Linked DNA regions of Tamandua tetradactyla. The protein of the gene in region 1 interacts with the protein of each later gene in a biochemical or structural test. Links are inferred from orthologs where the notes say so. Each region holds a gene or a part of one and is shown in the gene's direction. Other genes may lie near its edges. The genes, in order: GPRASP1 and OPRD1.

Region 1 (3,906 bases):
TCGTCAGCACCATGTTTGCGCTTAACCACTGCTCTGTTTGTCCTTTGGAACTTGATAAAGAGGGGCTAAAGACTGGGGAAAATGTGTAGAGATGAGGAAACAAGATTCAGAAAGAACTGCTAGGCTTCCCCAGCAGTCCTGGGGAATGTGTGAATGGTGGGGGATATCCCTACAGAGTGGCCTGGCACAACTAGACATGACAATGCAAGGTCCCGAGATTCAAGCTGGTTTGAATCACTGCTGCATTTCCACACTGCCACCAATTATCAGGGCCTGGGTGTGACTGGGAAGGGAAGCTCTGACAGGACAGACGAGGAGCCAGGGTAGGCCCTGCCTGGTGTGGCTGCAAGTAGATGGACAGAATGGATTGTGTATTCCAGTGCCCGTCCTGACAGAGAAAGGCCCTCTTTCTTGGGTAACTCTGGCAACCCCGTAATGCCAAGAAAAGCTGCCATTTCGAATGGAGAGAAAAAAGCAATGTGACAGAATGATTCTTGATGGAGACAGAGGAATGGTTTGTTTCCTAGGGTTAGAGGTCTAGATGTGCCTTCTTCTAGAAGAGGGGCAGGGGACAGGACCTTATAGGAGGGCCCCCACCACCACCCCCATGCTCACTCCCCCGACTTTAATTAAGAGCCTTCCTTCCTCCTCTCTCTGTCACATTGAAGTAATGAGGGAAGAACATGGGAGAGACCACCTCTAGACCCTCCAGTGTGTTCTGGCCTTCAATCGCCTCTCCCCGTCACCCTGCTTTCCTGACACCCCATCTCCCATCAACACCCTGGAAAGATGATACGCAACAAGCCGCAGTTCGGTGTTCATCCGCTGCTCCTTCCCGCACGGCTCTACCTGACCACCAGGTCCTGCCCCCACCCCAACAGCCCTCCATTCCCCTATACGGTATCCTAGTGCCAGAAGCGTGCTGGTGGTCGCCACACAAGGGGCCGCATACACTGCGGCATCCAGCTGGCAACCCGCCTTCCCCGGGCTGGGGCTCCTGGCCCCGCCCACCTCTGGGTCGGAACTATGGTGGGCCTGGGAGGGGGCGTCGAGCGCATTCGCGCCCATATCCCTCCGCCCCCTTCCCGCCCCCACTTCCTTACACTCTAGCCACCAGCCATTCGTGCCGCACTCCTGCGCAGCCCCTGCTGGGTTTGGTTCTGCAGCGTGGGGGGCGGGAGCGCCTCTTTGCGATTCTGACCCGGCACGGAGAGCGGTGGGACTGCGACTGAGGAGCTTCGAGAGGAGGGGGAGGCCGACGAGCTGGGCCCTGGGCCTGCAAAGGCAAGTGGGGGCGGGGGGACCGGGGCGGGTAGGTGGTCGCCACGGTTGACCGTGGATGGCCTGCCCTTCTGAGCCTGGGATCCTGGCAAGGAGGAGAGAATGCGGTCCGAGCCAGCCTCTGAGAGAGGTGCGCAGCGCCGGGAGACCCCTGACGCGAAGATGCGGAGATCGGCGCGGCCCAGGCCGAGGGCGGAGAGGTGGCCAGAGAGACACCCTCGGGTCGTGCAGAAAGGAACCGCGCAGCCCGCTTCCCGGCCAGCCTTCCAGGAGCCCTTGCCCCGCCCCCGGCCGCGTCTGTGCTGGGAGAGGGCTGTGGAGAGGCTGCTGTGGGGGCGATCTTGGAGAGGCTCTGGGGTGGGGGTCGCAGGGGATGGTCGCCAGAGGCGGGGGTTGGCGTCAGAGCTTTGCGCGGAGGCGGCAGGTGGACGGTCGCGTTCGCCATTCCCGGCCCAGATTCTGGGAAGGTGCCTGTTGGGCCCCGCATGTTGGATGCTTTTCCTTGCAGCTCTGGGCCCGGTTTCTTCCTGTGGGTGCCCTGTTGATGCCAGAGTCTCCTGTCTGCGCGGTAGGTCTCGCGGAGTCTGTCTTCCTGCAGTGTGCGGCTCTAAAGGACAGGCTTGAAAAAAAGCAGGAGCAGGAAAATGGCTTGGATTTCTAGAGGTGTGTGGGGACAGGGGAGTGGGAGGCGATCCCTGACTGGAGACCCTGAAGTAGGGTGTGGTGACTGACCAGAGCAGGTCTGGGGGGATACTGAGGCACCTCCTAATATTTCCCTCTTTGTCAATGTTCCAAGCACTTTTCACCCCCTTTCCCCTAAAATAAATGAGCTTTGGAGATTAGGGTTGGCTAGGGAGTCGCAGGTACAGGTACGGCTTTCTAGAATATGCCTTTGCCCATCCCCCAATTTTTGCTGCGTAGGACACGGGTTGAGTTCCCTCTAGTGGTGAATCCTCAGAATTGCAGAAGGGAGTTAATGGGGAGAGAGGGAGGTGAAAAAATGGTGTAATCATCTCTGGAACTTTAGAGAGCCTAAAGGAGAAATGGAGAATAATCTACCAACAGGATTCTAAATGTTGAAAAGCAGATAATATTGGGACTTTTATCCTGGGTATTGGTTTGCTCACCAATCATCTAGTTGCTATCATTGTCTCCTGACTATGCTACATTTAATTCTCTTTGTTCCTAGTTCTGCTTTAAGGCTGGTGGCTTCTGCAAGGAACAAAGGAGGAGGACAGCTGCTTGTCTCTGGAGGTTGGTTTGAAGGGGGAATGCCTGTGGAAAGTTAAGAGTAAGAACATGGCAGAAGGCTTTGATCTAAGCTGGCACAGGGCCTCCTTCACCTTTCTTTTCTGCCAGGATTCCATAGTGCCACAGCATTGTGCCACAACGTTGTGCATTTCATTCAGGGAATATTGGGAATTTTTGGGTAGGAGTAGGTCGGGCTGTGTTTGAGAGGAGAAGACCTGAGAGTAGGGGCCAGGAGTGGGAACATTGGACCCTTGAATGGAAAGGGAGGGATTTGCATCGGGGGCCAGAGTATGTGCCTGTCTACCATGTGCTCCTGATTTATGCACTCTTGTTTCTTTACTTGACTGTAGGATCACCTGCAGGTCTTCTGTGAGACTTGACACTGCTGGAAGCCTGGAAGAGAGGGGAAAATTGCATCATATCAGTGCAGGTTGGTATGAGAGTGGGGTAATGGGGTGGAGTCATGTAAGCAAGCATGTTTTCTGTAATGATCAAGGTCCAGTGTGATGACTCAGCTGCTCCCATTTCAAATCCACTTTCCCACCATTTCCACTTGTTTTATAGCCGATCAAGTAGTCTGGCTGCCCTAGGGGTAAGGCACACAGATGAAATGAGGGCTCAGAGCCTCTTTCCGAGAGCTCCACTGTCTCACCAAGCATTCAGTATCCAGTCTCCATGTGTGGATTTCTGCATGGGGTGACAACATTTGGAAGAGGCTCAAAGCCCTTTTCCTTTCTCTCTCCCTAGATCCACCTCCAGTGACAGCTCTGGTGGTGGTAGAGTTGCCCCCGACCACCACCCTCATCAGGTCTGTGCCCACCCAGGAACCATCCAACCTTCCCAGCTTGGTTGTACCTGCTCTGCAGTCTGTTAGTGGCAGAGGCTGTGTTTGGGAACGAAGCTGATTGACTGCTGGACTGGCATTTGACACTAACTCTTGCTTCCGACTTTGTAGCCTGAATCACTGAAAGATTGGACTGTGAAGATACAAACCTGTGACAGATTTGTGTTCAAAGTTGAGACTGGGGTTGGGCTATAGGTCTGGTCCTCCTTTATAACTAGGACATGACTGGGGCTGAGATTGAGCCTGGAACCCAGGCTAAATCTGAAAAGAAGACTGGAGAAGTGGTTGCTGATGGGGCTGAGAGGGAGTCTGATGTCCCTCTTGTGGTCAGACCCAAGGTTAGGACCCAGTCCCAGGTAATGACTGGAGTAAGACCCCAAACTGTGGTCATGGCAATTCCTGGGTCATGTCCTCCATCTGAGGCCAAGGCCATCCCTGGGGCAAGATCTAGTGAAGAACCCCCTGCATGTGCCCTGACTGAAATTGGGGCTGGGGCAATGTCGAAGTCAGAGGTAGTGGACCCGTCCAAT
Region 2 (3,906 bases), on another chromosome or scaffold:
GTTCTGGGAAGGGCAGGACCCCCAAGGAAGATGATGCCTCCGGTTCTAGGCTGGTAGGTCAGAGGATATGGGTGAGAAGGATGAATTAACCCGATGGGGCCCTTCCATCTGCTCCTACAGCAGCCCGAGTAATTAAGGTAGTCTTCTAGGTTCTTCCCACCACCTCATCCCATTCTCCCCCAACTCACTCCCTGCATTCACTGCTTCCTTGCCTCCTTTCAGTTCCAGGAAACCAACAGGTTTCCCTGCTGCCACAGGACCTTTGCACATATGTTTCATTTGGAACACTCTTCCCTTATTTCTTCCCTAAATTAGTTTCTCTTCAAACTTCACATCTCACCTTGTGTCATTTCCTCAGGGAAACTGTCCTTACCCCAGTGTTTCAAAGACCCTGCCACTGGATTGTATTCCTTATATTTACTTTTCTCAATTTGTAAGTATTTCTTCCTTCGCGTGATTTTAGAATTGCTGTCTCCCCCGTGGGCTGTAAGCATCTGAGTTTGCCCACCCGGGGATCTCTGATAGCACTTAGCTCTTGCATTAGGCAGTTAGAAATGTGCTGAGTGAATGAATGGAGTAAAAGAAAAAACATGGAATAACAATTTATTTACTGTGTGCCTGGCACTGAGCTAAATTCTTTACCCACCTCATCTTATTTAATCTCCCCAACAACCCTCTGAGGGAGGTGGTGCGATTATCCTCATTTAACAGCCTAGGAAAATGCAGTTGAGAGAGGTTAGGTCACTTTTTTCGAGGTCACTCTGGTCGTTAGTGAAGGGGAGAAAGGCGGGATTCCCATTCAGATTCTCCTGACTCCAAAGCCGCAAAGAGGGTGGGGAGGTGAGCCCCGGTTGGCGGGAGCGGGGCGGGAGTTTGGGCCCCGGAGCAGCCTCGGGTAGAGGGTGGGAGGCCTCCCCCACCCAGTTCCGAGCCGCTGGTGCCGCGCCCGCCCCCGGTCGCGGGCGCAGACTGGCGGCCGCCTCCGGGCCACGTGGTGCGCGCGGCGGGCGCGTCCGAGGAGCCCGCAGCGGCTCCTGGCTCCGAGCGCTCAGGGCAAGGAGAGTGGGCGTGCGCCAGTGGCAGGGCCGGGGCGAGCGGTGAGACAGCCGCAGGAGGCTCGCAGAAAGCGGGGCGGCCGCAGGGGCGCTGCAGCCGGCGGCGTCGGGGCCGCGGCCACGGCACTTCGCGCGCCCCTCGCACCGTGTCCCTGCGCCCAGGGCGCACGGTGGGGAAGGACTCGGCCCCGGCCGCCCGGCAGCCATGGAGCCGGCCCCCTCCGCTGACGCCGAGCTGCAGCCCCCGCTCCTCGCCAACGCGTCGGACGCCTTCCCCAGCGCATTCCCGAGTGCCGGCGCCAATGCGTCGGGGTCGCCGGGCGCACGGAGCGCCTCATCCCTCGCCCTGGCCATCGCCATCACCGCGCTCTATTCGGCGGTGTGCGCCGTGGGGCTGCTGGGCAACGTGCTCGTCATGTTCGGCATCGTCCGGTGAGTCCTCTATAGGATGGCGCCGTGGACTGGACCCCGGGGTGAGGGTGGGGACCGCGGACTGGGACGCTGATCCCAAACTCCACACTCTCTGGATCTCTGCATTTCCTGCAGGAGACGCCCAGGGTCCACTGGCCCCTGCCCATGCGAGAGTGGGACGCAGGAATCTGTGTGTGTGTGTGTGTGTGTGTGTGTGTGTGTGTGTGTGTGTGTGCACGCGCGCATTTAGCGAAATTAACATTTGATCTTCTTTTGGCATCCCCTTGTTGCTACAGCAGGGTGTGTGAGACAGTTTGGTGACAGTTTGTGTGACTGTCAGTTTGTGAGTGAGTGATTCTGTGTTTGTGACAGTACAAATGTATTGTATGTCTGGACTTCTAAGACCTGGCTGCAGTGGGTGGAGGTGCGTCAAGGTGCCGTGGAATTCTGGGGGAGAGTGTGTGGGTACCTACCGTACAGGTAGGGTGGGCATTTGTGAGGACACTTACCAATTTACATTTGGTGATGGTCTATTGGAGTCCCTGTATTGGCGTGTGTCAGTTTGTGATTCTCCATGTATGAGAATGTGACAGTATGACTGTGTTATTTTTTGTCAACCCCCTGAAACCCTAGGGTTTCCAAAGTGGCGTCAGAGATGTATGTTTGCACAACTGTGTTTGCATTTGCCAGTGACCCACGGCCGCTGTGGGTCTGATGGTCACAGTCGGTTCCTGCTCCTTTCCCTAGTAAGCCTTCCAGTCAGGAAGTCTGGACATGATTCAGAAAGGCCCCAGATCCTCCTCACAAATGCCCTCTCCCGTTTTCTCCTCCCCCCCATCTTTTTTTTTTTGGCCAGGTACAGCAGTGGTATGTTTGGGCTGGAGTGGAGTTTGTGCCTTCACCCAGGAAAGTGAGGTTCTCTTTTTAGTATCTATGTACAGTTCCAAGACCTTTTCAGAGAGTCTAAAATGTCATCAGCTTGCCCCAGAAGCAGCCCTCCTGACCCAACCCGGTTAGCTCAAACACAGGCAAAAAGGGTTGAGAGGAAACTCCCATCCTTATAACATCACAGGTGCCCTGGTGTTTATTGTTAATTGGAGATGGGTTGTCCATGCTGGTTGACCTCTAAACCCTAAACCTCTCTGGGCAGTGGTGTCACTAGACAGTGCAGACAGCAGATTGTGGACTCAGAGGCTGAATGTGAACTGTGGTCTCAGCCTAGTCTCTGATGCCCATTACAGTGGGGGGCTCATTCCTCCATCCTACCTCCCATCTGCCTCAGTTTCCCAGTCTGAAAAAGAGAGACCCTAACTCCTCAGTTGATAAGTAAGAATTCCAAAGTATGGGGTCTCTGCAGGGCGGAGCATTGTGTGCTGGGGCATGGAGAGGTGGGATGTGGGAGTGTTGAGAGACCTTTGGCATCAGTAGCAGCATCCTTGCTTCCCTAGGAAAAGTGGAGGGTTCAGGAATTTCCTGTGCTTTCAATGACTCACCCCCGGCTACAGTGGGAAAATTCCCCCAAGTAACAGGCAGATATGATCTTTGTTTTACATTTTTATTAGTCACTCTCTCCTCTTTGTCTTCGGAGGCAGCAAAGGTTTTATGGTTAGGACAACCTGAGCATTAATCCTAGCTCTGCCATATATTCACTCTAAGACTTGGGCAAGTCATTAGCCTCTCTGAGCCTCAGTTTCCTAATCTATGCAATGAAAGTAATAGAACCTTCAACAGGGTATTGTGAAATATCAGTGAAAGAGAAAATGTAATGTAGCTGGCCTGGTGCTTGGCCCCAGTAACTGAAAGCCATGTGTATGATGAACAGGAGGAATTTTCCAGATTCTGCAGAATCCAGTGCCCATTAAAGGAGAGAAAGGGAGGGAGGTGCTTGTGCTGAGGGTAGCTGTTGAGTATTGCTAGCTGGAGAGTTCCAGGCTCCTGGCATCCGCTGTCTCTAGGGGAGCTCCAGGTGCTCAAGCCTGGGGAAAGCTGAGCCTTGGTGTGTTCAGTTCCTTTTGCAGCCCCTGCTCCAGGGCCCTGTGGTTGGTGGGTTGATGAGCACACATCCCTCTACCACCAGTGAGCAAGGGGAGGGCCTCCCACTTCTGAGAGTCTACTCTGGAGAGGCTCTGGGCTCAGCCTGCTAGGTGCACTTCCAACCATCCTCCCCAAATCGTCTTACAACATTGCTGGTCTCCATAGGTCCCCATGCTGCTACGATATTTCCCTGGCCGACCATTTATGTGATAACTGTATCTCTGGTTCTGAATTATTTAATCCTCACCAACAGCCGTTGGACCAGGCAGTAGAGATCATCATCATCATTCTCCTTCTCAGTTTTCAGATGAGGTTTCTGTGGCTCAGAGAGAGGCAAGATGACTTGTTTTCCTCAGCTAGAACTCTGGTCTTGTGACTCCAAGTCTAGAACTTTTTCCAGAGCTGC

What was found.
Region 2: the proteins of GPRASP1 (region 1) and OPRD1 form a complex in vitro, tested with the Homo sapiens proteins (2 studies listed by BioGRID and IntAct). The link is inferred for Tamandua tetradactyla from reciprocal best matches to the Homo sapiens genes GPRASP1 and OPRD1.

The regions. Positions count from the first base shown.
Region 1 is NC_135353.1:70,949,528-70,953,433, reverse strand, and holds the start of GPRASP1 (G-protein coupled receptor-associated sorting protein 1), read left to right. Parts: upstream 1-1,043; 5' UTR 1,044-1,284; intron 1,285-1,678; exon of another isoform or gene 1,679-1,789; 5' UTR 1,790-1,944; intron 1,945-2,470; 5' UTR 2,471-2,535; intron 2,536-2,882; 5' UTR 2,883-2,962; intron 2,963-3,279; 5' UTR 3,280-3,597; coding exon 3,598-3,906. UniProt on the Homo sapiens protein: Modulates lysosomal sorting and functional down-regulation of a variety of G-protein coupled receptors. Targets receptors for degradation in lysosomes via its interaction with BECN2.
Region 2 is NC_135328.1:197,341,796-197,345,701, reverse strand, and holds the start of OPRD1 (delta-type opioid receptor), read left to right. Parts: upstream 1-1,260; coding exon 1,261-1,487; intron 1,488-3,906. UniProt on the Homo sapiens protein: G-protein coupled receptor that functions as a receptor for endogenous enkephalins and for a subset of other opioids.